Schizosaccharomyces pombe: one gene and its partners. Changing the gene in region 3 together with the main gene of any one other region gives a genetic interaction. Each region holds a gene or a part of one and is shown on either strand. Other genes may lie near its edges.

What was found.
Region 1: mutations in pab2 (region 3) and pfd3 together harm fitness more than expected from each alone (negative genetic interaction), as found in Schizosaccharomyces pombe (2 studies listed by BioGRID).
Region 2: mutations in pab2 (region 3) and png2 together harm fitness more than expected from each alone (negative genetic interaction), as found in Schizosaccharomyces pombe (2 studies listed by BioGRID).
Region 4: mutations in pab2 (region 3) and hrp3 together harm fitness less than expected from each alone (positive genetic interaction), as found in Schizosaccharomyces pombe (2 studies listed by BioGRID).

What each region holds. Positions count from the first base shown.
Region 1 is NC_003424.3:600,214-606,480, forward strand, and holds pfd3 (prefoldin subunit Pfd3), read right to left. Parts: upstream 1,306-6,267; 5' UTR 1,273-1,305; coding exon 1,262-1,272; exon of another isoform or gene 1,213-1,261; coding exon 1,114-1,212; intron 1,070-1,113; coding exon 670-1,069; 3' UTR 613-669; downstream 1-612. Other genes in the region: SPOM_SPAC3H8.08C (transcription factor), read right to left, coding at 1,847-3,538; poly(A)-binding protein Nab3, read right to left, coding at 4,283-4,746, 4,802-5,142, 5,225-6,267.
Region 2 is NC_003423.3:1,119,049-1,125,732, forward strand, and holds png2 (chromatin modification family protein Png2), read right to left. Parts: upstream 2,914-6,684; 5' UTR 2,902-2,913; coding exon 2,850-2,901; exon of another isoform or gene 2,810-2,849; coding exon 2,738-2,809; exon of another isoform or gene 2,691-2,737; coding exon 1,897-2,690; 3' UTR 1,613-1,896; intron 1,557-1,612; 3' UTR 1,534-1,556; downstream 1-1,533. Other genes in the region: translation termination factor Rrf1, read left to right, coding at 1-247; Cu chaperone Atx1, read right to left, coding at 804-934, 1,058-1,133; GTPase-binding protein Rid1, read left to right, coding at 3,780-4,198, 4,337-4,484, 4,553-5,085, 5,135-5,237; ribosomal lysine methyltransferase Set10, read right to left, coding at 5,396-6,684.
Region 3 is NC_003423.3:1,936,813-1,943,792, forward strand, and holds pab2 (poly(A)-binding protein Pab2), read right to left. Parts: upstream 3,977-6,980; 5' UTR 3,945-3,976; coding exon 3,909-3,944; exon of another isoform or gene 3,858-3,908; coding exon 3,604-3,857; exon of another isoform or gene 3,549-3,603; coding exon 3,461-3,548; exon of another isoform or gene 3,405-3,460; coding exon 3,282-3,404; 3' UTR 2,559-3,281; downstream 1-2,558. Other genes in the region: HECT-type ubiquitin-protein ligase Pub3, read right to left, coding at 1-1,146, 1,489-1,667; serine/threonine protein kinase Ksp1, read left to right, coding at 6,415-6,980.
Region 4 is NC_003424.3:5,374,692-5,385,355, reverse strand, and holds hrp3 (CHD family chromatin remodeller Hrp3), read right to left. Parts: upstream 7,533-10,664; 5' UTR 7,430-7,532; exon of another isoform or gene 6,941-7,429; intron 6,935-6,940; 5' UTR 6,930-6,934; coding exon 6,738-6,929; intron 6,681-6,737; coding exon 2,706-6,680; 3' UTR 2,443-2,705; downstream 1-2,442. Other genes in the region: Maf-like protein Ifs1, read left to right, coding at 203-346, 598-726, 826-1,149, 1,273-1,401; proteasome receptor/ubiquitin ligase adaptor Dss1, read right to left, coding at 1,902-2,044, 2,085-2,126, 2,233-2,263; U1 snRNP-associated protein Prp40, read right to left, coding at 7,657-9,744; GTPase Fet5, read left to right, coding at 10,364-10,664.

The DNA of each region.
Region 1 (6,267 bases), on a different chromosome or scaffold from region 3:
AAGCTACATGATACATTGACTAGAATCGGTTTGATTCATAGTGGTATTGGAATGATGTTGTTCATTGTGTTTTTTAACTGTTAATCTGACATCCATTGAGTCATTCTTTACAATTTGTAAAATTAATTTGTATCACTAATTTTGAAGGAAGCTATTTTGGTATTAATACCGCTTTTGGTCTCCACTTCCTTTTCGAAACTCTTAACAGCGATTAGGCCGGGTATCTTCCAGTGTGATGTATAGGTATTTGTCGTTTTTTTATCATTTCCGTTAATAAAGAACTCTTTTATCCAGCTTCTTACACTGTCAACTGTTGTGAAAGGAACACATTTAGAATTTCATTTTCCTTATTTGTTGTGATTTAAATCGTTTGACATAATTTTAAATTTGGTTTGAAATGTGTGTGAGAAGGCTTGTTTTATTCATTTAGTTTATTGCTTGTTTGCACGAAAATCCAGAACGGAGCATTAATGTAATCCTTTTTTATTCTGTAAAGCGTTTTTATACAAATGTTGGTTATACGTTTCTAAAATAAGAATATTGTTATAATAATATAGTTTTTTCTATCATTTGTTACACACACTAAAGAGACATTAAGGATAAGCAAATGTGTTAAAATGATAATATATTTTGGAAACATTTATAAAGAAATTAAGCAGCTTTGACTAACTACATTTTTGTTTTTTTCCTAAGCAAAACTGTATAGTTATACACGCGAGCTGTATTCACTTCCATTGTAGTGACTTGAGCTCTCAAAAATTCCAAATCTTCTTTACATGCTTTCAATGTTTCTTCCGCTGAGTTCAGCTTCTGCGTTAACAATGCTTCTGCCTCTTCAACCGTATACTCAAGCATAACATTTGCACCTAACCAAAGGTAGACATTGTCTTTAGCTTCTACTTCTGCTTTTGCATTTAATGTGTCATTTAGTTCATATGTAACAGTAAAAGAGTCACCTTGTCGCTCTTTCAAGAACTGAACACTCTGTAACGTTTTTCGAATGTCAGGAATTTTGTCATCCAAACTAGCAACTCTCCTGACCACACTAGTCTCCATGAATTTGTACTTTCTAAATTACATTATATTAATATGAAATAACATATATATCCTTACGCAATTGCTTCTTGGAACTTTTCGAGATGACCTTGAGCTTCCTCCATAGATAACTCTTTGAACTCAAAAAATTGAGCGGGTGGAATTCCCCGTGGATTTCTATTCATATTAGTTATTTTTTTAAAAAGTATTATACTTCAGTACATACGAAGAACTCATTCTCTATGCAACAGAAAAAGGGGCGGTTGTTTTGAACAGGTAACTGAGTGTCAAAGGTAATAGGTATAGTAATGTTACAAATTTGGAAATGCGTATTATTCCCTAATTACCAAATCTAACCAAGTCTGAACTACACAGTCTAAATAGGCAGAATATTTTGGTTATACACATGTAATTGATAATTGTTGCAAAATCTATTCATCCAATTTACCAACCATAACCTGTATAGAACCATTGCGCAGCGTAATGCATTTTCATTTGAAAGTACTAGCGAGAGTTTTATATCACTAAACTTTTTAAACGTTTTTTAATTACTTGAAATCACATATTTTAGTTAAACATATTCTGTTTGGAAAAGGCAGTTTTGTTGAAAAAATTGTATTTGAAAGACAACTTTATAGAAGGATAGTAAGAAAGTTAATTCCTAAATGGTCTATATTGAACCAAAAATAGTTACATTAAAAAACGAGAGTCATTAAAAGAGCAGATAAATTTGACATTAGAACCACTTTGGAACATTAATCGAAATTTAATCAATCATACAAACAAAAAAATTACAAAGTGCTCGTTTAGGTCACTGATCAAGAAGGGCGGACGGTATAAAGTAATTTGAAGTAAAATCAAAAATGTCAGCGAATAATTTAGAGGGATCCTCCGTGGTTTCAGGTTCTGCATCTTGCATAGGCGGTTCATTTGGGTGTAACATACTGTTGATGAATCTTAAAACATATCCAAATCGGACAGCCATGCCATCATCAAATGTTACGATATCAACCATTCTTTCTTGTACATATAATGTTATGTCACCTAAGTCAGAAGGCACCTCAAAGCCTTTATCACGGCAAAACGCAGCCAACATGAGGGCGTGGATAATCTCCAACAACGCTACCAAAAGCCAGCCTCGTTTTTCTAATATAGTGATTTGAGATATGAGTAGCCTCACGCACTGAATACAACTTTCACCCAAATTACCAATAATAGTTTCTTCATCTTCTAAAATCCCTGAATCCAGGGTAATAAAACATTGATACAAATTCACACGTGCAGTCCAGAACACCATTTTCAAAAATATGTATCGAAATTGAATATCTTCATTAGAAGGGTCATAAAACTTTGCTTCTATATCTACCAAAATAAGCGAAAGCTGTGATTCATAACTCTCCAGTTTATCAATGAATTTACTAACGGTGAGTGAATGAACAGATTTATAGATTGAAACACCACAATCAAGTAACCTTCCAAGAAGTAGATGAAAATTGTAGCTAATATCGTCATTAAAAAAACAACGAAGCGGCTTGAGACGACCATAAGTGTCGTGTTGAATGAATGGCGGACGGTACTTTAATACACATTCCAAACCATCAATTTCACAGAGAGCAAACCACAAATCTGACGTATTTTTTCCTATTTTTTCCGTAACTTGGAAGAGGGGAGTTACTAAGGTTGATACGTGAATGCTTCTACATAAGTCAGTATTCACTCCTCTTATTCTTGTGCGAAATTTTGTTGCATACGCTCGCAAAAGCAGCATCTGAATTATTTCTTTATCAGGCAAGCATAAATGTTTATATTCCTGCTCGGATATCTCGTTAAGTTTTAAATTTATAAGACGGCTGGATTCCAATGGAGTAATCCCCGCCGAATTATAAAAATTGAGAATAACATCAGGCAAATCGCTCAGCTGGATAGTTGCAGCAATAATTGGTAATAAAGTGAAGGCATCTTCGTACGAAAAAGATTCTGGTGATTCAATGTTGTTTAAGCTTTTTTCTACTGTCTCTTGATCATAAATAGGACAGACAACATTTAGTGTTTTAAAAAATAAATTAACAATTTTCTGTGATATGCAAAATGGCGGTAAAAGGTTCGCCAAACTCTCAACAACCACATTATCTTTATAGCTACTGTAAGCCTGAATTGAAAACGAAGGTCGAGATGAGCACATGTCGCTATCCTTTCTATATTTAATCAACTCAAAGAGTGATCTCCATCCATAAAAATCAAATTTCTCATTTTTTTTCGGATTAATATCGGGAGAAACTTCCAGTGTGGTTTCAGAATCAGAAGCATTTTCGCTATGACTAGGATGTGGTCCGACGTTCATTTTATCAATGGTATCATCTGCGTAAGTGCAAACCTCGTTCCTTTCTTTACATCGAGAGCAAGGCTGCTGACGGTCGCATTTGACCTTGCGGCGCCTACAAATTAAACATGATTTTGGGCTGCGTTTTCGAAATTTCTTTAAAGCTGGAGGAGAGGAAGACATTATTAGAAGTATTGATAACTTGATAATTTCCTTTCAAGCAATTGTAGTTGCCTCCGTATTTGAAGTGGAGGCACAAAATAAAACGAGGATCCTTCAAAACTTCCTATTTTAGAGAATCCTTTAAAAGCACCTTGATATTCAGACCGACCAGCGGTTGTTATTTCTAATTAAAAAAATTAACCTGATAATATACTTTAAATAAAGTTCCTTAATTGCAACTTCAGATTGGGAGGCACTTGTATTACTAGTAATGAAAAGATTATAATATAAAAGTTACTACTTACTTACTTACTAAGCTTACAACGTACTAGTCGGCGTTGCGTAGCAGTGCATCGCTGTTATCAGATCAATTAAACTGCACGTTTACCTAAGTAGTAAAATATTAAAAGGACATTTGACATTCATGATCATCAAATTAATAATAAAAATATGTCGTTGTTATTAATTTTTACTCGCTAAATCTCTTAATCAGTAAAAATCAAGTATCGAAACTTTCTTCCTAACGATTTATTACCATTTTTTGTATGCATCGAAAAAAATACAAATGAACAGTTGATAGTCCGTGCAGCAAGAAAAATTACTTGTCTGTTGGTTTTTACATATAAATGCTTCAAGAATAACTGAGAAAAAAGTGAAATAAATATTGAAGACAAGGACATATATATCGCAAAACCATATTAACAAAGTGCTACCTAAAACACTTGTTAACAAATAATATATATAAACCTTTTCTAAGGTCAGATATCAAAAATCAGGTTGCTTGAGCTCTGCGAGCTGCTCTAATATCTTTTGAAGTTGCTTGTTTCCAGCAACTGAAGACCTTTGGCGGCTTTCTTGAGAATGCAATGCTTCGTAATTATCACGAGCATAATTTTTAGGCATCTCATTCACAACAAATTGGGACTGAGATGTAATTGTTCCAAATGATCCTCCGGTATCATTAGGATTAAAACTAACTCTAGTTGGAATGTATGAAGTAGTGCTATAGGTATTTTGAATGAATCCTAATAAATGGTGAAGATTAACAGAATCTAAAGAACCTACTAAAGCTGGTAGATTAGGATTCGTTGATATACAGGGAGATGGCACGTCAGGCACAATACGCTCACCATTATACGATGGCGTACTAGAAGCAGCTGAGTGCATGAGAGAAGTCTTTGCGTGGTGAACAATACTTGCAGCAACCATCACGTCCACAGCAGCATATTCTATAAAGACAAAGTTAGAGTTCTGTCAAAACACATATATCTTTATTCAACGTACCATCACAACGGACTTCTGAATCGCTAGATCCGTCTTTAAACACTTGAACCGACACCTTCCCTAGGTGAGCCAAACCGGCGTTTATCAAGATAATGGATTTAACGCTGTTAATAATACAGCTTTTAATAATGACTTGTAAGTTTGAGTCACGGTACAAACAAGTGGTATGTATATTCAATCGACGCTCCTGAAAGACTTTTTCCACTCCCCATACAAATTCCTTTGGACAGTCTTCCGTGACTAGTATTTCACAATCAGGGCTGAAGTTTTTAGACATGGATATAGATCCCTTTCTATCGTAGGATTTACCCTTCGACATTAAAGGAGATCGCGTGCGTTTTCTGTATTACGTTAGCAAGGCTAAAAAAACAAACAAAATTGCGATGTTTTGCGAAATTAATTGCAGCAACGATAATTCCTTACCTGCTACTAGTGGGATAAGGAAGGTTTCCAATCATTTCAGAATATTGATTACTTTTGGTAACATGTGATCCTTTCTTCATGTTTTCTATTTGATTTTGATATTTCTTCTGAATTTTAGAAATTTCCAAATGCAGCTTTTGACCCCGAACAAAATTGCCTTGTTCCGCATTTAAAGCCCTAGCACAATCTTCGTTTGTAAAAAACTGAACGAAACCATAATTTGCTTTTAAAACTATCTGTGCTAAAGGCCCATAAATTTTAAAAACTTTCCACAAATTTCGTTTAGATAAGCTCTTTGTATTTAGATGACCCAAAAATAAGCGAGAAGCTGAAGGAAATTGCCCTGGATACCAGTTTGACATTATACTTTCTTCATCTTTCAAAAATTGTTGAAATCTTTGTTCATCCTCTAAGTTCATTTGCAACGATTTCTCGGCAGCATTGTTACCCAAATATTCAACATTTTGTGCTTCATGATTAAGTTGCAAATTTTCAGGACTATACGCAGATTCCGGGGAACTGGGTGTCTGGGGATTATGATGTTCATGTAATTCATTATGCTCATTATAATAATTGGGCAAATTAGCACTATACGAATAAATACTAGTCCTGTGAGCCTCAGGACTAGTTGACAAGTCTTTAGAATAGGGAATAAAATCAGTAGTTCTATAAGGTAAATCTAATTTCTCATGAGACTTTCCATATTCAATTTCTTCAAAATTCACCGAGCTATAAGTTTTTGACGGATCATAATAAGTGGTGTTTTGTAAGGATTGTTCAGGTAAATGCTCTGAAGCGGTCTGAAAATCGTATACTTGTAAATCTTTAGTAGAAGAGTTTTCAGTTTCTTGTTCCACTGGTTCATTGGATATCGAAAAAGGCTTATTTTGCTCAACGTCGAGTGAAGGAGGACTTTGAGAGGTAGATCCGTTTCCCCCCGAAACACTTGGTTGAGTAGTGGAAAGTGAATCCTTACTTTGAAAGTCGGAAGAAGTTGACTCTAAAATTGGAGCTCCATATATGTTTTTAGAAATTTCCTCATT
Region 2 (6,684 bases), 820 kb from region 3:
ACAACGAACCACTTTAGAAAGTCGGCAGCAGTTGGCCAAAGTATTAGAAGGATACGCAAAAGATAGTCGAGAACAGCTGTCTGCAATGCGAACTGAATTAAAAAAAGAGATTGCAAAAAATAAGAAAAGTAAAGCTTGGACGTCCGATGATTGTTATAAAGCAGAAGCGGAAATGCAAACAGCTTTTAAAAATGCCATCAATTTGCTTGATAGCGGTTTGAAATCAGCTTTGAAAAAGGTAATATAATCTCAATTACGCCAGATTTAATATCTCTTTGTGATGTATATTCATTTCATAGTAATTTTATAAACACGACTACATTATGTTTTCGATATACCGAACAAAATTGTTGAGTAAACTCAATTAGAGGTAGCTAAAATGAATGTGAATCTATTATTTACCGAGAAAACAGTTATTGCCTGAATTGGAGGTGCCTATGTAATGTATAAAATAAAATAAAAAAAATAAGTGAAAACTCCTAAGTCAAAAAATAGCAACAAAATGACTGAAAGTGCAGTCTGATAATAAACAATGATCACAATAAATATTACAAACGGCATGTAAAGCGGGGTTCAACTTACCAAGACAATTGAAATGAACCGGAAAACGTCTATAAGTTTATCACAATTTATTGGAGGAAAATAACACCAAAGGCTCAAGCAGTACGCTGTATCCTACAAAACAAATAGCCTCGTCTAGTCGTATATATAAATCTTAACAATAAGGCGACAACAAAAAAGTCAAGAGCATATTTTTGAGAGAACCGATCAGATATGATTAAAGTCGTAATTTTTGCCATGCTCTACTCTAGGACTTTACCGCTGCGAACTTCCTTTCCAGTTTTTTTAATCGTTTGTTCTACGAGCTCATATGGTTTGTCTGTGGTAACGATAACCTCTTGTTTTTCGACCGAAATGGATTTGTCTTCAACACCTACTCGACATTACTTAATTAGTACACAGATTCATCAACAAAATTCCTGAAAAACCATATATAACAAATACTTATATAAATGTAAATCTAAATACTTAAAAAATGACTTTTTTTAAAACGCACCCAGACGAGTTAAAACGCGATCGATGGCATTTTTGCAGCCATCACAAGCCATAGCAACGTTAAATTGGTACTTCATTATCAGATGATCAAAAATTCAACGAGATTTGGACAAGAAACTGTTAATTAACTTTTTTGTAACACAAATAAAAACAGTATTTAAAATTCAAGAAAATCCCAATTTTAAGAATTACTTTAGATGAGAAGGAGGGAAACGATAAGTTGGAAAATCCATTAGTAAAAGCATTTAGACGTAATGCAAGGAGGTATCCTTAAAAAAATAACGAGAGAGATATATTTGCTATAGATGTGTGTCAGTAATAATGCACTAAGCTATGATACACTATGTTGTGTATCACTATTTGTCATTACTTTGAATACTATTTAAATTCGCTTTTGAAACATGCATGAAGGAATTTCCATTTATTAACAAGTATGTAAGCTAACAAAACAAATTCAAAGAAAAAATTTAATAAAGTTTGCGCCTAAAATTGCTTCCTTACTTCAATGACTAGTTACTAACAAATTTCTAATAAAAATAATTATAATATTACTTACTCATACATATTGCATCCGCTTTTTGTAGATTGCAAACAAAACACACCGTAGTTTTACATATCATTAAATAGTATACCGAGATACGTAGCTGATGGTTGTATCCTTTAACGAAACCATAAAAATCGTTATAAGGGTTTTATGAGGTATAGAAATGTTGTCGTTAGTTTAATTGATTCAGTAAACAAGAGCAATGCAAGCAGTGGTAATGGATGTTTCATAACGATGTCAAACACTGAGAAATTAACAATAAAAAGAAGGTGAAAGAAAATAAAAAGGATCCCGGCTCATTGACGACTTTCAGATGATTTTGCTAACTCTTCACATTCTTTACAATACCAGATCCCCTTCGGTGGTTCTACTAGACCAACGCAAGGTAAATGGAACCATTCTCTTTTACAATTTTCGTTATCACATCCAATCATTTGTCCATAGGAAACTTGTTGACAGTAACAGTAAAGTTGCTCACCTTCACGGCTGATATCACTTGAATCTAATGTGTCGTGTTTGACAAGTGGTTCCCCATTTGTCTGTTTTAAACGAGATTCTGATCTCCGCACTGGTCGCCTCTCCGTAGATTGCGGCGCATGCTTTGTACTCGATAATGGAGGTGATGATGATTTTCTAGGAACAGCATTTTTTCGACGCTTTGTAGGGGTGTGATAAGAAGATTGCGGCGATGAAGCGTCTTCAAAGTTGTTATATGAAGACGACCGTTCCTGAGAGGAATATTGCTGGGAATGCTGGTTATTTTGATGCCGACGGGTTTCCCGTCTCCTTTCAGAAGTTTGAGGAGTCACAGTAGAATGATAATTCATTAAAGCTCGATCGTCTGGATATCCCAATCTCAATTGTTGGGGAATCTCCAATTCAACATATTCAAACCCAGCATCCAAACGGTCGATACAACTCTTGATATTATTCATTGCGTCTGTGGCCAAACAAATCTTTGAATCAGAATATGGAAGTATCTCTTTTAGTGTCTTTTGTAATCGCTCACATCTTTCTTCTCCTGACAATTCGTCATTTTTCTCGTTTTTTAGAACCACACCAATTTCCTGTATGACATTTTGACGGATATCTAAGATTTTGTTAACCACACGTTTTAAAAATATATATTTCACTTACCTCGTACTTGTGCATCGATCTCTTTCAAACTCGTGAATTTTCCACATACTGATTCAGGGACTGAAACAATGGCTGTAAAATGTTAATCAATGTGTTTATTTTCGCCTCTTACCATCTGTGAAATCATTTAAAGCTGCAAATATTTCAATTCCACTCGTCCCCATGATATTGACACTAAGCACGTTACGTTGTGCTGAGTAGGAAATGTATGTCCCACCTACTTCTCTCACTTTACTACATCCCTACGTGAAATAGCAAAATTGTATGTTTAATCTATTGATAGAAAGAAGTGATTCTATTATAAGCGACGCGTTTTAATGTACCAGAATTCTAGTATAATTTCAGCACTGCTTTGAACTGTAATTTTTAACGACATTATGTTAGTTCAGGTAATATGAGCCTTCTTGTTTAACCATACATTTCCAAATAATCAATTTATTTTAGATATCGGTTCTACTACTCAGTTAGTTGCACCTTCATTATAATAGCAAATTTTGGATGTCCGAAATATTTTTCCTTTTCACAACCTTCAGTGAATTCCAGATAATTGAGAAGTACATATTAAAATTCTTACCCAAAATAGACCGAGATTTACTATATCTTAAAGCTCAATACATTCTTATTTTTCCATTCTTCTCATTTGACTTACATACGATAGTGTATATACCAATATCAAACATTAACTCAACACGCGTAATCTCAAAATTTTGCAAGTTGGATTTACTATGTATAGCTATTAATGAAAATAATGATAGGCGTAAATAGTATGGTTTATTAAATAACGGAAGCTTTCTCTTTTTTTTTTTCGAACATTCATGTGCTATTTTCCTTCCCTAAGTCTAGGGCCATAGCTTAGTATTGTACATATTAAAAATTGGAACAACCGTTCCGCGTATTAGCCTAATTATTGAATTAATTCCCGATATTGTCCGTTTCATGTTCCTGTGGCTTGTTCCTCGGACGCGTCAGCGTGCCATTTTAATATATACCAGCCCTCCCATTTCTATGTAAATATACCACACGACTATTCCTTACACACATTATGAATTCTCTACGTTCAGTAAAACGGCTTTTAGGTGCTCGCTCTTTGAGCTCTGATGGGCTCTCTGAAAGCGTTAATTCTTCTGATCGAGAGGATAGCTTGAGCTTTCAGACTCCTTCAACCCCTTCTGAAGATGAAATGCCACAATGTTTTGAAGATTTAATCAAGCCTCAAGTTCTTTCTTCAGAGGCCTCAAAGAGTTTACTTTCCCTTAATGAAGGAATTAAAATGGAAATCGTGTCCAGTTTACAGCAAAAAGACCAGAAAAAGCGAAATAAATTAATTGCTTGGATGCGTAAAAAACCATGTTACGAGCAACCTGACGACTTTATTTCGTATATTGTAAATACAAAAATTGACTCAATCGATGAATCTATCATACACAAATTAGCTCTACTTCTCAGAAACGAGCAAGTAATGTATGTTTACATTTTGTGCAGCTACGTGAATCAAAGTGGTGATGCTTAAATTATCTTTTTTTTTGGCACTACTATTGTTTTGATTGAATGATAAATCATTCGTTTATTTTGAGGTTTTTCATACTAACTGCAATACAGATGGGTAGAGAAGTTTATACACAACGGCGGTTTCGGTGTAGTATTTTGTACAATCGACAAAATCTCTCGCCTTGAATGGAGAGAGGAACTGCACGATTCTATACTGGAGCAACTTTTACTTTGCGTTAAAGCCATGTGCACTGTTCAGGTATGCATGTGATATACATTTAGACCTATGTCTTCATTGCCTTTGACAATTGCTAACGTTTTTCCTAGCGCGGATTGGAATGTTTATCTCAATCCACTTATAATGTCGAGCGATTGATTTCCCTTTTGCTTTCAAAGAAACAGCCATGTGATTTTGTCGTAAGGGAAGTACTCGTTCAAATAGTTCACTCCTTTTACAAAGCTCATCTCGACAAAGAAGAAGGTGCAATGCAAGTTTTTTCCTTGTTTTCTATTAAAGACGATAAGGATGAAGAGGTTGAATTCTTAAAAAACGTTCGAGTTGATCGACCTTTTCGCCGTTGGATTATCGAACTTGAAGATGTTAGCCGTAATGTCTTCTGGGTGTGGAACCACGATTCTAATGTCATTGATTTGGAGAAACAATATAATCAAGTGTACGAGGCTCCATTGGGGTTTATTGGTGGTATAGAAACCGAAGCCACCAGCTATGTTGCAGCTCACATCCATCTTATTAATGAATTACTCGAAGGCTTACCTTTAGAGAAACGTCAAAGAAAACGTTTGGAACTCCAGCTAAGTGGATTAGAAAGAATCATGGGGTTACGGTTTCGAAAGAGCAGGTAAGCAATTTTTTTCAATATTTATATAAGCAGGCACTTACAAATCTAGTCAAAAATTCCATAAGAAGCTACATGAAGCCCTTCGTGAATGGATAGTGGCTGCTAAAATTGATGATTGGCCATACAAACTTGTGCAAACTGGATCAACCTAACTTTACCCTAATTTTCTATGCACTACAATCATCCTATGTATATAAAAGACACTAAACACCTTAATCATTTATCAAAATACGTCTTGTCATCTACTTTACCTAACCCAATATTGGAATACTCATCGTACATTATATATTAATCGCTTAATTTTTATTTATCAATTATGGGCAATAATAAAGGTAAATCCAGAAAAGTCGAGACTTTCGTCATTTACCAATTGCAATGCCCAAGAAACATTTTCTTTATTAAAATGCTTGGATTCCCCAAATACGTTTGTAAATTGTTGAAAAAACATTTCATCCAAGATTTCAAAGACTTCAACACCTTCTGGATTAGCAACGGCTGGATACCCTTCCACAAGCATACTAATTGAGAAAGGTAATTTTTCAGAAATAGATAAACAATATACACAAATCAATATCATTAAAATATCCTGCTCATCTGTAGCGACCAATGCTTCAGCATCGGTTGAACCATAGAGACTCTCAATGGCATGCGAAAGTGGTGCAAACAAAGGATGTTGCAAGAGGAAAATAGATATCGAATTAAGGATGAGATATTGCAAAAGGTTTGGAAGAGGTTTGTAAGTTTTTTGGAGTGATTCTTCCATATAATTTTTGACATAAGTGATGGAGTCTTGAAGAATATTAATCTGACTATCGCGATAAATTTTGGCCCAAACCTGCCTTTCAGAGGTCGGAGATACTTGCGGATTTGATTTTAACAAAAGGTCAGCTCTAGAGTCGATGTACATAAGTAAAACTTCCAAGGACTTAATCTGGCCTCGTAAAGAAGGGACATAAGAAGCTAGATCACCCGTCAACAAATGCGCTGTCAATTTTCGAAGTTCAAGAGAAGAGGCAGTTACAACTGCTAAACATTGAAGAATCTTTTGAAAAATTTCCTTATCTGGGGACTTTGGCAAAAAAAATACTAAATTGCTCAACTGAAATTGGCAATCATTCTCAAGAATGGCAGCTTTTTGATCTTTATGCGGTAAATCTGGATGAATAGCTACTTTTAAAGTCACTGTATCAAATGGGTTATCAGGTAAGCAAAACCCATAGCCCATTAGTAACTCTTCGTTGCCCTTTGGACCGTAATTATTAAACAGCTGGTTGCCTTTTGCAACCAACTCTTGGGAAATTAATTGAACAGATTTTTCATCTTGAAAATCACTATTCCACAAAATTGGCTGCTTTGGTTTATGATTCAGACTGTCAATGAGAGGAAGAAGAATGGGAGTAGACTCTGAATCCTTATATATTAGATTGGATGAAAAACATCTAGATGAGAAAACAGTGGCAGACCATATATACAAATCGAAGGTAAATCTTTCTGTAGGAGATGGGTGCAAACTTAATGCTTCTTGATACTCATGCTTCCAGATATGCAAACGCTCCTGAGCAGCAGAGTACGCATTTGTGGATATCAAAAAGGCGTTAT
Region 3 (6,980 bases):
AAAATGTGATCTCTGCGTACCTTAACATTGCATTGGCCAGGTAAAGGACGCATACCAGGTTGTGAACGGAAATATATAAGTTTGCGACGAAAATCGCATTTGTATTGAGGAACATCTTGATCCAAGGCAGAAGGAAGACGTGGATCGTCCCAAGTGGTTGTTTTCGTATTGTGATCAACAAAATAGACACGGGCACTATTTGTAAGACGCATTTCCCAACCACTAGGTAAGGGACCCAAATGCGAAAGTGACTGTGGCTGCATCAAGCTACCCACAGTAGAAGAGCCACCATTAGGTCGCACAAGGGGATTTCGTGGATCAACCCATGTGGTAGTTCGCGTATTATGGTCAACAAAATATGGGCGGCCTGTATCTGTGTATCGCATTTCCCAGCCGAAAGGAAGGTCGTTTCCGGAATCTGATTGCATTAAAGATGGATTAGAGTCATCAGGTAAATGTCTGTTCTGATGATTAAGTCTTTGGCTATCACTCGACGTATTATGTACAGGATTTGTACTGCTAGCCGGACGAGTCCAGGTGGTAGTGCGCGTATTATGATCAACATAATAAGTGCGACCTAGAGAGTCAGCACGGCGTTCCCAACCTGGAGGAAGACGTCCATATTGGTCTTCAAACGATGACATGATATGTGCATTCGAATTCGAAAGAGCACTAGTATTGTTAGTCTGGCGATTGGTTACAGGACTAGAACGATGACTTGCGCCAGTACCAGCGCCAGTACCAGTCCCATTTGAAGTTGCAGCAGAAGTGCCATTCCGAGTCGAATTCGAAGTGGACTGATTCGAGGTATTAGTTGTGGCAGTCGGACGGGGAGTAGTACGAGTAGTACGTGCAGTTGTGGTTGTAGGTGTACTAGTAGTGCGATTGGCTGTAGTAGATGAGTGATTTCCGGCGGGAGCCCTAATTTTAGACGGGGCCACCTTCAATACGAGATTTCCCAAAACGGAAAGATTAGTGGTGGAAGATTTTTTCAATGGTCGAGTAAGCGACACTTCGCGATTTGATCGAAAACTACCAACTTCACGCATACGAAAGGATACTAAGCCAAGGAAGCCTTGATCTTTCTTTTTGAACTTTTTCTGATCAAAAAGGCGTATGGATATAACGCTAGATGGCTTAACAGTTCTAGAATTTAGTTAGTATAACGGAACAAAGAAAAGGGCAAAATCAACATATTGAAAAAAAAAAAAGAAAAAGATGCAGTAGTAATAAAAGATTTGCAAAAAGGATAGGATATGATAATATACAAATGATGTTGTTATTAGAAAATTGTTAAAAAAATTTCGTTATGGAGCCACAAAAACTATCCGACCATCAAAGAAATGCTTAGACTCCGAACTAACGTGAATACTAAGAGTATAAACATATCTATCCAAATCTAAGAACATCCAAGGTCCAATCTCTACCATCTCTTTTTTTTTTATTTTCAATTGATCATGTTATCCGCCGCATTTGTCATGTGCTTACACTTCAAATCCTTCATTCCAATAAGGGTTCACCGATTTTTTAATAACTTTCGTTGTATGAGTTTGCTCGCCATCTACCGTTAAAATAGCAAAGGGATCGGGCTGTCGAAAAAGATCCCGTTTACTTAATCCATCAGCAGCTACTATGTAGAACCGGACTCTTTTCGCTCCTTGTTCCATGTTCTTAACATATAATTACTTGGATTCCTCTAAGCGGAGAGGTGAAAGTCGCGAAACTTCACGAAACCTTCAATATGTAAGCGATTGTGGTAAATGGTAAAAGCGGATACGTATACCACAAAAGGTTTCAATATTGAAGCGGGGGTTCCGAGCCAGTAGGAAGGTGGGGGAGTTTGGTGGTAGTATGAAGAACGCTGTAGTTCACTACGCAACGATATTCTTGTTTTGCTAGGGAAATGCGTTTAAAGATACTAAGCGTTCGCTGGCTAAACAGCAACTTTATATGTAATTTAAAAAGGCAAAGAGAGTGTTGAGGAAATCGACCAATTTATCTTTTTCGTTGTAGAAGTAGTAAACCGATATACGATCTAAATTGGCTCTTTTTATAAATCGACAGACGAATGCTCGAATGCTCGAATGCTCTCTGGAATATCCTAGTGTAAATACCTGTTGGTTGGCTAAATAGTGGATCAATAGGTGTAACTCGCAAGTTCAGCGAATATCCGCTCAGCTAATATTTGGCAAATCGAAAGAGTAAACAAAGGTCATCGAATCTGAGTGGCACAGCGTAGAAACGACTGACTTGATTATCCTTGTTACTTTTATTTATCGCTTCCCTATACGAGTTGGGTAAAAGGCAGGAAGGAAATTATTTGTACTGGAATCCGGAATATGCCGCAGGTAGCTAAAAGAAATTGACTCGACATGTACAATATATGAACATAAAAATCGACTATGTAAAAACTACTTAATTAGATATACACCAAGCTTTTTTTGTTAAATGTCATTTTACATCATGATGACTAAAAATTAATTTCCTCACAATTATTACATATAAAAATGAACTTGTAGACTTAGAAAAGAAAGTCATACATTTTCTATATAAAATCATTAAACAGAATCAAGAAATTTATTAGAAATATAAGAAGATCCTCAGCATTAAACTCTCCAAAGGAGAAGAGAAGAACGTTAATGTGTTTCACTATATTAAACACAAAATGTAATGGTGAACACAGAGAAGTATCTCCTCATTACAAAAATATATATATAATGAAATTATACATTGGTAGGTGTTTAGTTTTATTAATCAAGAAAGGAAGGAGATGACTGTAATATGTGATACGGTGTATAGAGTAGCTTCCTTTTCTGACCCCTTTTCTAATCAAGCGGATCAAGATTATGACGAGAAATTAAGCTGAGCAAATAAATTTTCAAAAACAAAAAAAAGAAAATTTTGAAGATTATGAACGTGCATCAGAAGCATAAAAACGACAATATACAACAAAATTTTATGAAGCTGGCATTGTAAACACAAAAATGCAATCAACTAGTCCATACCCAAGAGGAATTGAAGGGTCGGTGAATTACATTATGTCAGCATATATGTTTTAATATAGTGAATGGGATCATGACTTTAAAGGAAACCCGTGTAATCCAACACAAAAGAATAAACAAGGAATATAAACATTTAACGAATGAGTTGAAAGAAATACTAGTTAATTTCCAACATACTGTTAAATGTCATTTCTAATCTTTTCCCACCTAACTGTTATTGGTGACGATTTGAATGCTCATAATTCATTTTTCACTTTTTCAAGTCATCAAAGCGATTACCTAATACGGAGCGAAACCACGGGCTCTTCCACGATATCCTCCTCTGCCACGACCCCGTCCACGTCCACGTCCGCGACCACGACCACGGCTCATACCAGGAACGTTTGTCCGCTTGGGTGTAACCTACATTTCAAGTTAGAATGCATGTTGCTGGTAGTTACTGTGATTGTTTTACATACCTTTAAAGGTCGTTCATGCAACATCGATCCATTTAATAAAAGAGCATTAGGCACTAAGCTTGGTTCACTGAACTCGATGTATGCAAATCTACGAAACTAGGTTAGCTGTACATTCCAACGTCATCCACAAGTTCGATTCATACCCTTTTGGATGTCCCGTAAACTTGTCACACAAAATGGTAACGCGATTAACAGATCCACAACTAGCAAAATGACTTTGCAACTCCTCTGGAGTAACACTGTAATCAACATTTCCAACATAGACACTTTGAGCATCAATGGATTCCTTATCGTTTCTCAAAGCTTCCGTTTCATTATCTAGTTGTTCTTGCATGGCACGAAGCTTTGCAGCCTCTGCTTCCATTTCAGCAACTCGCTCTTTCATTTCCAATAGTTCCTAATCATGTAAGCAAATAATTCCACCATACTACACAGTCTGAATTCCTACCTTTTCTTGGGTATCTAAGGCATCTTGATCACTCATTTTTTCAAATTTTCTGCTACACGCGTGTGGTTGGAAGTAAACTGTTCAACCAGTATTCTTTAGCATGTTGAGGGTGACAAAAGTTTCCCTCTATGCTCTCAGAGTAGCGACGCTTTGTTTCGCGCAAATTTACAATAGCGTATGGCACGATTAGAGACGGAAAAACCGATTTCTGAATGAAACAGCACAATATGGTGTAATATTTTCGTATTCGTTAATACGTACAATATGTGTTTAACGAGGATTTGGACTGCCTGCTTATAGTTCGGATGCTTGGTTAAGATGAGAGTGCTCACAAGTAAGTAAGGTGAGGTTTGTGGACATTTTTGTATGGCGTGTTTGGTTTTATTGTATTGCTAAAATCACAATTCATAAGAAAGCGATCTTTAAAAAACAATTAAGGAGATTGACGGGATATGCCGTTAAATGTTTAGTTTTTGGACGTAACGAATACCTAAGTTGCTTGAAGAGCTCTCCCACTTGAAGTGAAATAAGTGGAATCCTAAAGAAATACGATAAGACGTGATAAAGTATGGCATAATGTAGTTCTTTCATGGAACTTCGAACTCAATTATTACACACTCTTCACCATTGATATACGTATCCAGGGTTGGTATTATCTTCATTAGCTCGATAGCCAAGGGTGATGAATTACAAAAATATAGAAAAGGGATATTTTTGAATGGAAGTCTATTTAAAATAACTTCCTGTTTTTTAATTGATTTCTTTAATAATATTCCGTATTTTTATATAAATTAATTTATTTTTTCTGATTTTTACCATTATTTCTTTTTTTACTTTATTTTGTAGTTTTTTGTGTTTTTTTTTTTTTGTTCAGCAACCCATCTAACGTAATGCTATCGTTTATATTAATTGTTTTTTTCTTCTTCTTTTGTTTCTACGCTTTAAATGTAAAAAGAGTCCAAGTCTAAATAAACCAATTTTTTTTTTTTTTTGCCTGGGGATACTAATAATTTAATAAAATGGAAATTTCCCAACAATGTTTATCTATCAACCACAGCAAGCCGTTCCCAGCTTAACTAATACTAGAATAAAACAAATAATAATAAAGCATCAAGTAACGGTATATTTCGTTTCATATGCGAATTGTAGAACCAATACTACAGATACTTCACTATTTATTTATCCGGTAGCAGTCTACCATTGATTACCTTCTAGACACCGTTGACGATTCACATACCGAAGCGGAGAAAATTAATAAATCAGAGTTTTAACTCAAAGGAAGCTTCTATGATCCCTTCCAATCTCGTACTTCTATTCAAGGGCCTATATATCTCTTGATATTTAATTGCTATGGCAGCTTCCTTAAACCAAGCAACATAATGATCAAACAAAAAGCAAATTGTTAGGCAATTTTAAGATCATTTCATTAAAATGTACGAAATAATTAGTTCATATTCGAGGCTTATATCTTTCTCATTATCGAACATTTTCCATCGTTCATCTATCTACTTTGCTATTCTAGTTAACAGTGGTTACTTGTGCATCTAAAACGATCGGTGAAACGAAGATAGAAACGAGAAAAGAATTCAATAAGATGAGAAAAAATAATTAAAACAATTAGTAAAAATGAAAATAGATTGTAGACGATAGCATATGTGTCTATAAATTAGTATATACGACTTGTTCTATTTTATATTTATTTATTTATCACGCACAAGTTTAAGGAGAAATAATGCACTACACAGTCACGTTATCATAGAATAAGGAAGAAGAAGTCAGAACGGGATAAATTGATCACGAATCTTCCTTACCAACTCATCTACTATCTCGACATAATTGTGCTATATTCCACTAAATTTCGTTAAATTCTCTATCGCAATCAAAGGAACATCAGCACTAAAAAGAACTCCTCAGGGGGGGCGGATAACTTTACCCTCTACCAACAACAACCAACCAAGGTTCTGTTTTCTGCTACATTTCTGGGTTCAACATGAGAAAATTTGCTTAACAAAATATTAATACACACACGATCTAAGTGAATTGCTACGAAATTCTAATTCTCCCAAAGTATTCAACGCGAAACCACTGTTTTCATACCCGCCATCCTCTTCGAACAGCCAGGCCGACTTTTCTTCCCTCTACTAGGTTATTTCGTTGCCGAAGTATTCCGCCAATCTCTTTTTGAAACCTGTTTCTTGTACAGGTGTTGGCTTTCTAGAGATTGAGTGTTTACTGGAATTTGTTTTTGTTTTCTTACTATCTTTCCTCTTCTTCCCCAGGTGTGTACTGTGAAGAACAAATAGAGTATATATATATTTCTGTATTTATATTCATATCTATATTATTTGTTCAACTTTCAAAGAACGACCTGTTTGAGTCTATTAAAGGAGAATTTAAGAAAACTGTGAATTTTAGGTATCATTCGACCGACATTAAGTTATCATCTGCTCGACCTCTCAAACTTTGATTAAAGAAGAAAAGTTCGGAATCGAAAGTGTGTGTGATTATGAAGCTGCTTCAAAAGAAAGGTTATAAAGTTGAGCGCCCTCTGAATAAGGGATCGTATGGCACTGTAGTATTAGCCCATCGTCTTTTTCGGACTCCCCGTTGCAAGGATTTGAAGTATGCCATTAAGTGCATCAAAAAACCTGCTTATACCTTTTTGCAAGAAGTCAATATCTTGCGCCAGCTATCGCGGTCTCGACACCGCAACATCATTCATTTCGTTGAATCTTTTGAAGACAATGTATACTATTATGTCGTGCTCGAATATTGCCCTCTTGGTGATTTATACGAGTGCATCTTGAATAATGATTTTCCAAATGCAAAGAACCAACCTGAAATGATTAAGAATATTTTTCTTCAAATCATTGATGGTGTTGCACATTTGCATTCTCATGGTATCTACCATCGTGACTTAAAGCCAGAAAACTTTCTTCTTTCTCTTTCAGAAGATGGATCTGAGCTTGTGGTCAAGATCAGTGATTTTGGACTTGCTTGCAGGGACAAAATATCTTATGACTTTGGAACTGGCAGTGACCGTTACATGGCTCCTGAACAGTTTGAGGAAGT
Region 4 (10,664 bases), on a different chromosome or scaffold from region 3:
TTTAATACCTTTGACTGTACAATATAGCGAGCTCGAAAGATATGGGGTCCTATTGTATGTCACTATTAAATGTTTATGTGCTTCGTTGCATCCGTACCTATTGGTAATAGAAAAAGAAACACAAAATTTGCAAAAAACAACTTTGAGTTAAATTTGTTGAGTTCAAATCATTTTTCAAAGTTTACTTCTTTATATTTTCAAAATGAGCAACGAAAAAATGGATACGTCTCCTCCTTCTTACGATTCTCATTTTACTTTGGAAACGTCAATGCACCGTCAATTAAAAGATAAAAGGATTATTTTGGCTTCAGGATCCCCTCGCAGAAAGCAGTTATTTGAACAGATGGTAAGAAAAATAAAAAATGGAGACAATTTTTTGAATCATGTAATCTACCCAAGCAATTGCTTCCTAAAAAAAGTATCAATTGCTGTCGTTATTATATTTTCCATGAAGCATTGCCCGTAAAAATTGTGTTGTATCTTAATAAATTATTCTTATTTATGATTCTCTGTTTTGTGTTACTTAGAAGTTTTGGAGTTCGTCTCTTAATTTCATTCGTTTGGTCGTGTTCGTAAACTAATGTTGATTTAAAATAGGGATTTCCTAATGTTGAAACCTGCGTTTCCGGATTCCCCGAAGATTTAAATAAATCTATGTACATAACTCCTTGGGAATATGCTGCTGACACTTCGGTACAGAAAGCGATTGCAGTTTATGAGAAACTGGTATGGATGTTTAATTTAAATTTTTCTTTACAGAGAGTTTCACACTGAAGTCTCTAAAGTTGTCTTGTTTTTCTATATTAACGCATTTTTTCTACTTAGGCCGCCGAAGAAGATTCACCAGACATAGTTGTATCCGCCGATACTATATTGATTTTGGATTCTGAGATTATGGAGAAGCCCAACGATCCCAAGCATCACCTTGCCATGCTGAAAAAGCTCAGAAATTCTAAAACACCCCATAAAGTATTTACTGCTGTCAGTGTTATTGTGCCTATGGAAGTGCCTATTCATCCAGGTTATGTTATGAAAACACACCTTGAAGAAACTCAGGTGAAGTTTGACCCTTCCATAACTGACGAATTTCTCGAAGCTTATGTTCGTTGTGGCGAAGGTTCAGATAAAGCCGGAGGCTATGCTATACAGGTATGTTTTTGGCTGTTTTTAGGGTGATGGAAGTGCCTGAACCGTGCGTGCTTTCAAATAATGAATTATAGCATTTTTTGTTTTTTTTAAATTTTTACGCATGACTTTGCTGACTAAGTTTAGGGTCACGGCGCCTTATTGATTGAGTCTATCATAGGTGACTTTTCCAATGTTGTAGGCTTGCCTATCCGCGCTACTTTCAAGTTGATGGAAGAAGCCTTAGAACAAGGAGATGCTGATAATTACGATTAAGAATCTTCTAAGAAATTAAGTTCATGACAATTGCGTTTCATTTTCCCAGGCACCTTCATCTTTGCCTCATACACTTCAATGTTTTTGTTTAAATTCCTTTACATATTAACTACGCGTCTCTTCTTTTGACCATTTGAAATGATCATCATTTGAACAATCATGGGTTGCTATTGTCTATAGTAATGCAAATAGGTTTTACATTTTCTAGCTTATCTTCATTTCGCATATACAGGCAGTACCGTTTCGCCGGTAATTGTTAGAATATAATCAATTCAGGCGTATATAAGTATCATAGACCTAATTTACAGATATGGACAAGTTGAAGTTCTTTAAACGTAAAAATCTTCAACACAAGAATATCTATCTGCACCGTATTTACAGAACCAGCAAAACCTTAGAGTCATGAAAGAACCTGTATTCGATCGTTTTGTTAATGCATTAAAATTATACTGAGGGATGAAGGCAGTTTCGGAGATATACACTCTGGCAGAAGCAATATCTTAATTGGCGGCAACACCCTTCTTTTTTAACTCTGCTTGTAATTGAACAGAAAAATCATCGTCTCCAATGTCCTCATCGTCCCAATTGTTTTCCCATAGCGTATCATCTCCAGTATCAAGCTCTGTATCTTTCATAGGCCAATCTTTTTGATGTTAAATAATTATTTCTTTAAAAGTACTTACTTTCTGTTGCGAAATCTTCAAACTCATCATCATCCTCAAGGTCTAAGCATTATGTTAGTAAACGTCTTTAGGCCAACGAAAAAATCATAGACATTAGCATATCGAATAAATAGTACTCGAAAGCCACTCTAAATAATTTGTAACGTACTTTCTAAGCTTGGTAAGGCCGCACGAGACATTCTAATTTATAAACGTGATTTGGTGTGAAAGGTGAACCCTGCCGTACTGTGATGTTTGAATGAACTTTTCACTGGTAACGATGTCTACTGAGTTACACTATTATATTTACAAACTGCATAAAGTTGCAGACTAATAAATAGCAGTTTGCCATTGATATTTCAATTAAAAACAAATTGTATTACTGGATTATTCTTATCTATGCTGACTCTATGTTCTGAATACCGGAGGATTTCCTAAAGTCAAGATTTGAAATGCAGGGTTTATTAACATTATAATTAAAGGTACAATAAGAAACGATTTTTAGACTAGAATTTAGTGATCTTTGAAATGTAGCAATCAAAATTGAAGACTGTAAAAGATAAACATATTCGAGCTTCAAACCTAAAATATTCCGGATGAAAAATGAAGAAACAAATTGGCTTTTGTATGACAGGCTAAAATCTACTTCATCTTTTCATACATGCTGATCAAGCTGGTATATTTAACCTCCTCCTTCGGCCAAAAGTAACATGCAAACATCCATAAATTCTTCCTAACAGTAGCTTTTTCTTCGGAGGGTGTATCATTGACAGTTTTTTCAATATGCTTTCCAATCGTTGTCAAACACTCAGTAAGTAACTTCACCAACTCCGCGCGTCCAAGCCCACTAGAATCTTTCCGAAGTCTTTTCATATGCTTACGGACTGGATACATCAGTTCTTTGCAGCGTGCCTTTTGTTCAGCATTTAGACTTACATTACCATCGTCTTTTTCAGATTTGACGGGTGAAGCTGTCTGGCTGCGAGACTGTTCCCTACTAGGTGTTTCAATCTTCGTGTCTTTAGAAGAAGGTTTCTTACGAGATTCTGAAATTGCAGGCGATGGTGTCCTAGTTGCACTCTCTATTTTTTGCGCAGATTTAACGTTAGGCTTGCCACTTTGTCTGCGATTAGCCGTCTGCTTCTTAGGTTGAGTTTTTCCATTAGTACTAATAGCGGGGCTTGATTTTATGCCAAAATTTTGGTGATGCTCACGTAAAGCACTAAGTAGGTATTCACCTCGACGAACCAAATGCACAGCTGAAGGTACCTTTTTCTCTTTATTTTCTTTATCTTTGGGGACAGAGTTGTCTGTTTGTTTTGTGTCTTCTAAAAAGATCTTGTCTTTCATTTTGAGTTCTGGATCATCTCGAATTTCTAACCAAGCTCCAAATCCATGCTTACAAATTCCAGAAAGCAACATGGAATCTTCTCGGGGTCCCCACTGACAGGACCAGCCGTGAACAGATCTAACGTGCATTGGAATTTGGAAGTTAGAATATCCTGACGTTGGCATAGCATCATAAAGAATATCAAGATCATTTAGCCTTTGTACCAATGTTTCAGCATTTATATTTTTTACACCTTTAAATGTAATGAGCAGCGCTTTACGAGATGACTTATTATTAGACTGATCATTAGATAAGTCCTTCTCGGCTGCTGATACAGCCTTGCGTGAAGCGGTTACTAAGTCAGCTGCAATCTTTTTTATTACGTGAGCATCTTGCGTAGTAAGATCAGCATATTTAACAATGTCATTGTAGCGATGCTCAAGGCTTCCATATCTAATCATAGCACGATAAAGCAACCGAATTTCCTTTTCCAGTAAAACCTCATCTTTAAGCATTTGCTTTTTGCTCTTCCTTTCAGAAGTTCCAGAGTAGGATGGGGATTCCACCGCAGAGCTAGGATAAGGACGATTACCTCGTCTACTACTAAGCTCAATTTCTTGCTTAAGCGCTTCTTCCTCTTCTCTTAAGCGGTCTTCCTCTTCAAACTTCTCACGTTCAGTTAGGGGTATAATATCATCCCAAGATACATCTGCCTTATAGTCTGTAACTTCGAACTGTTTCAAAAACTCTTCACCACCCATGCTGGCTCCACCCACATCATTGGAAGTATCATGATCTTCGGCATGTTCCAAAATTTCATCTAAATTCATATCCTCAAGCTTCTTTTGATTATTCTCTGCTTTAAACATATTAGAAGCTCCAAATTTCAAAATAGCGCTAAGCTCTTCAGCAGAAAATTTATCATTTTTGGAATTCTTTTGCTTGTCTGTAACACCTAATGAAATAATTGCATATTCAAGAATCATTTTACGACGTGCACGTTCCAAGACATCTTCTTCAATCGTATCTTTGGAAAGAAGCCTGTATACCATAACATGATTTTTCTGACCAATGCGATGCGCACGTGCCATAGCTTGTAAATCAGCTTGAGGGTTCCAATCGGAATCAAAAATAATAACTGTATCAGCAGTCATTAAATTAATACCTAATCCTCCAGCTCGTGTGGATAATAAAAACACAAAATCTGGGCTGTTTGGTGCATTAAAATGATCTATTGAAGTTCTTCGTACAGCAGCAGGGACAGTGCCATCCAGTCTCTGATGTGGATATCCCCTCAAAGAAAGATAATCACCAAGAATGTCAAGCATACGAACCATTTGACTAAAAATTAAAACGCGGTGGCCGTCTCGACGAAGACGTGATAGAAGTTTGTCAAGTAACACCATTTTCCCGCTGTTCATAATTAAACCTTTTAAGACTTCATCTCGTCTTCCTTGAGAGTTTATTTTTTGCATCCATGACTCTTCTACTCCGTCAAATAAGTAAGGATGATTACTTGCCTTTTTCAACTCCACAACTATGTTTAGTAAAGATATTTGACTTCCCGAACTTATGCTTTGAGTAAGGACACGGTAATTGCGAGTTAAAATATTTTTGTACCAGTACATTTGTAAGTCAGAAAGCTCAACACGAAGGATACGTTCAGACTTAGAAGGAAGAGATTTCTCAACGTCTTTCTTTAATCTTCGTAAAATGTAGGGTTGTAAATGCTCCTGTAAACTTCTAATATAAGCTTCCTGCTCCTCATCTGGTGCTTCTAAATTAATTTCCTCACGAATCTCAAACTTTCCTGGCATCAGGAAGTCTACCAAAGCCGCAAGCTCACGAATATTATTTTGTAATGGTGTTCCAGTTATAAGTAATCGATTTGAGTTCTTGAACTGAGAAAGTGCTTCATAAAGTGACGATTCACTGTTTTTTAATCGATGAGCTTCGTCAATTGCCATATATTGCCATTTTATATTACTAAGCACCGAGCGATCTTTGAGTACATACTCATAAGTAGTTAGAAGCAAGTTGAACTTTATTTTCTGAGTTCCATCAACATAAAATTCGTAATCCCTTATTACTTGCCTTGAGGTGGTATTTCCAAGGTAACTTATACAATTCATATCAGAAGCCCAAAGAGCTAATGTCTCTTGCCAGGCAGGAACTGTAGAAAGTGGAACAACTACAAGAAAAGGTCCATGCTGTCTTAAAGAATGTGCAAGATATGAAAGAAAAGCCACAGTTTGGACTGTCTTACCGAGACCCATTTCATCGGCCAAAATCCCATTTTCATTTTTATGCCAAAGATATGCCATCCAGTTGACGCCTGTAAGCTGAAAGTCACGAAGCTCACCACCGGTTATATACGAAGGCTGTTGCTCCAGTTTTCGATACTTAGGACGCGAATTACCATAGTTTGTACCTCTTGATGGACTAAGAGCACTTTCTTCTCTTTCTTGAAATGCCTGAATTTCCGTGGCAGCAATAGGCTCAATAATTGAGGAAGCTTCCCATGTGCAAAAATCATATAACAGCTGCTTCCATTTCACTAAGTATTCAACTGAGCCATCGGAGTTTAAGTGTTTGGCAACAATTCTGTCTACCTGCTTATATTCCTCGTAATTTTCACGCTTTCTCTCTTTTTCAATATCCATTGCTTCAATGTCTTCACGCGTAGTGGTCGGATCTTCTCGAATTTCTCGATCAAGAAGTATGACTTGCTTAATGTGATTGTCGACCTTTTTAGATCCTCTGATCATAGAAATGTTATTGTAAGGTTCCCATGTACAATGAAGATGAGAAAAATTAACCCATTTAATTAAAAACTCATAATCTTCAGAAGGTGTAGAGCCATCGTGTCCTTCAATAAGTCTATGATCTAAAACGACATCTATAGCTCGTGTATCTTCAGGTTCTTCAGAAACTTCAGTTGCGTACTCATACATCTCTTCTTCCTCTTCTTCTTCAAACGATTCAAAATACGCGTCTTCGTTATAGTTAACACCTTTACTATTTCTAGAAGAAAATCGAATTTCATCTTGAACGTAGGTGTTTGATTTTTTTTGCCGAGATCGCTTTTTGGGAGTTCCGCCATAAGAACTATCATCTGACTCACTTTCCTCAGAGGTGACAGATTCAGCTTCATCGTCTAAATCGCGAATTGTTCGATGACGAGAAAAAGATGAACCATTTCTAGTACCTTTACGATGCTTGGATGGGAACACATCTTCTTGATCATCAGTGTCTACATATCTTCCTGGATTACTACGAGTGCGACCCTATAATGATTAGCATCTAAGTAAGTTTCATAATGAATAAAATAATGTGAGACATACAGAACGTCGAAGACCGTAAAGCTCTGGGTCGAGCCATTCAGTAGATTGTAATTTGCGCTTGGAGGCTACGCCGCTATTCGAAGGGGATTCGGACATTTCCTGCTTAAGATTAGGGGTTTCAGTTTGAACGTGATCCAGCTGCTCAATAGCCTTAGATGATGACAAAGCAAGTGCTATAGCACTTGTACTCATATCAACTAAAACAGAAGTTAGAACCAATTTCGCAAATTTCTTATTGCAAAACTTTTCCGAAATTGAAATGCTGAATAATTGTGAAATATGTAATAGGCTTCCATCCAACTTCTAGTTAACTGAGAACTGCCAGATGCCACTTTAAATGTGAATATTTATAACTCTTGACTAACGACTATATTTAGACGAGATCCGAACAGATTTAAATAAAGAACACATATTAACTCCCGTATCTTTTCGATAGGAAGCACTATATCGTTCATTTTCGAAGAAAGAGCAATTTTGAATAAAAGGTCGAATGCCACCAAAAAGATTGTATCACAAGAGAAACAAGCAAAACATAATAAGAAAGAAGGTTTTTAAAAAAAGAGAGCTACATTCAGTGCATTGAACAATGTAGGTTTAACAAAAAAATGCGACACGTGGATCATTCACATATTCAGCGTCAAATTCGGAAAACGAACTGTGGCTGCAACAAAATTTAATAAAAATTTACTTACGCGTTATTAAATAGAACGCTTATAGCAGTATTTTGCTATTTTAATAGCAACTTGCTAGTTTTGTTACAAAAACAATTTTTGAGGTACTGGTGGTAGAGGTTCAAATAGCTACAGGCTGTATCCGCTACTAAAGGTAATCAAACTGTATGAATACAAAAAGCGAGTTGAGAGAACATTAAAATGCATGTGTATTAAACGCACTAACAATTAAATTTCTAACTTGAATACTAACGAATTTCACCTTCTTCACTAGATTCTGCATCATCAACAATATTTTTAACAGCCGGTTGTGTAGCGGTAACATGAGAGATTGAATTTTCCTGTACATCCTGCATCGTATTAATTTCATTCCTATTACTTTTTGACGCTAAGTCAGCAGAATATTCCAACCTTCCATCTTCGTATCCGCTATGTGGTCGGGCACTATTCGCTAAATAACTTTCATCTTTACCGACATCATAATAACCTCTTCTGTTTTGGTATTGCTTTTCCAATTCCCGTTTTTCTCGAAGCCGTCTTATATATTTGTCAAAAGCAGCCATCCTGTGTTCCTCGGAATGGAGCGCAGCAAATTCCGGTAGAATAGAAATTAAAGGTCTAATTTCATCGTAAGAAGCATCGGCAGAAATTGGAGGTTTAAGGTATTTAATGGCACTTCTGAGATTATCAATTTTCCTTCGAATGCGTCGTTCATCAGCACGCTTTTCCTCAGCTTTTTTGTGGATCGCTTTATCACGTAATCGATTAACAACTTCTTCAATAAGGTCTTCAGTTACTGCCTCACTTTCCTCTCGATCTTTAAGCTTTTCTGATAACCTTGCTATAATTTCAGGAATATTAGATGTGTCATCCACAGATATTTGCAATACTTCAAGACAGTCCAAAACCAAATTACGCTTTTCCCGATACATATTCTCCAAATCAACGATCGTATCCCAAAATAAATCTAATGGTGTAGAGCCAGATTGCCCTAGTAAGTTAAGATATCTTGGATCATCCTTGATTATGGGATATAATTCTTTCCACTTCGTGCGTAATGTAATCTTCTTTTGCACGCGTAAGTCTTGTAATAGCGCACGAAAGGCATCACGATTTTTCCTTTCTATACGATGCTTTTCTTTCTTCTGCTTTTGTTTGTCAAGAATATATTCGCGTTCCAAATGCTTAACATGATCTTCAAATGCTACAAGAGCATCTAATTTAGAAAGATATTTCATATTTGAATTCCTTGTATACCTTGGATCTTGATCAAATTTTGCTTGCGCAACGCTCCAGCGGGTGTAAGGCTCGAAATTCATGTTTCGCAAAAGCGAACAAAAATCATCCAATGCTTCCTTTCTGCGATCCTTTTCCAACTGCTTTTCATCCTCTAAAAGCTTTTGCTTATATTCAAAAAATAGTTGTTGTTGTTCAGTTTCAGAAGAAGTAGCGTTAAAAGCAGGATGAGAAGAAAATTCATTCTTCACAGTACGCCACAAAGTATAAGAATGAATTTTATCACTACTTTTTAGCATCTCAATAAACTCCTTCCTAATCTTAGTTACTCGGTTCTTTTCTGCATCACTTTGATCGGTCAAATAGTTTAAGATGTACGCATCGAAAGCACATTTCCGATGCCAAGGATCCTTCATGACATAATAGCCCTTAGCATCACAAAGCTCTCGGACAGTCTGCTCCCAAGTCCAGCTTGGGTTGACATTATGAGAGTCTAAAAATTTAAAGAAAGCGCGCTCTGCGGCTTCATAGGTATCATAGTTTTCGTGCTGATAATCATTAGAACGTTTTTGGCGCTTATCCTTTTGTTGAACAAAGTTTATAGTTCGTTTATGACTGCCTTGTGAAATTTGTTGGCTTTGATCTTTAGCTGGTTGACTTGAAGGAGCAGCAACATCCGGACCATGCCGTTGAATGCTTTGAACAGCTGGCTTGTTGTCATTGCTTTTGATTTTAGACGACAAAGCCTTTTTTTGCTGTTCCGGTTCATCAACAAGGGCAGCTTTATATTCATCAGGAATATCCCACACTGATTCACGGGTATTGACATTATACCAATACTTTTTGCCATCAGCGGTGGCATATTCTTTCCAAGCTAGTTTCGAAAGCTTTTTTTCAAAGTCATTCATTAACTCCTCTGGTTTTTCCCAAACACTTTTGCGCGTTACTGAGTTGTAGTAATAAACTCGAGAATCTTCTGTCTTCACTTCATGCCAGTCAGAGGCCACAGTCTTGGAAGGAGCTGCTGACGGCCCTTCCTGATTAGACGTGAATCCCTCAGTTTCATCGTACTCTGAAGTTTGCCATGGAGGTGCAGACATCTTCACATTTATGAATAACTCCCCTTAAAATTGGGGTTGTGGTTTAAGCCAGCGTGTAGAGTTACACTCACTGTTCACTACAAACGGGTGTGGTGGTCGAGTCTATATGTGGGGGACTCGTTGTTTCACTGTATTATCAACTACGTAATATCTAATTGATAATAGAGATACGTTAGACTGTGGTCAGTTTAGAATACATTTACTATATTGTTGTAAACAGGTCTTGAGAATAACAGACTTCAAAGTGAGTTAATTTACAAGCGATGCTATAGCCGTTGCTAAACAACTTATGACTGAGTTGAAATATGGAGTGAGTTAAGCTGTATCAAGAGAAATTAAACTAATTTTATACAAGAAGTAGAAAAAGCTATATTGACATCGTACTTATATTAGGGGGTATTCAAAAAAATGAATGTTTTTAGTGACGTTTAACGTAAATTCTGCAAGACTTAAAGATTTAAACAGAGCGTGTTATTCACAGTTAAAGTATTTGTTGTTAAAAGTCAGTAAAATACTTAGGGCATCGCATGGCGAGTTATAAGGGTGCATACGGGCACAGGTAAGAAGGCATAGGATAAAAGAACACGACGTTTCAAAAGACGTTAGTCTTTTTAGAAAAATGGTTAAGGTGGCAGCTTTTGTTTGTGGTGTTGCCAGCAGTGGTAAAAGTACGTTTTGTGGAGCATTAATGTCTTATATGAAAAGCGTTGGACGTTCTTGCCATTTAGTTAATTTAGATCCTGCTGCAGAAAACTTCGAATGGGAACCAACTGTTGATATTAGAGACTTAATATCCATTGATGATGTTATGGAAGAGCTGGACTACGGCCCTAATGGTGGGTTAATTTATTGTTTCGAATTTTTGATGGAAAACTTAGATTGGTTAAATGAAGAAATTGGCGATTACGACGAAGACTATT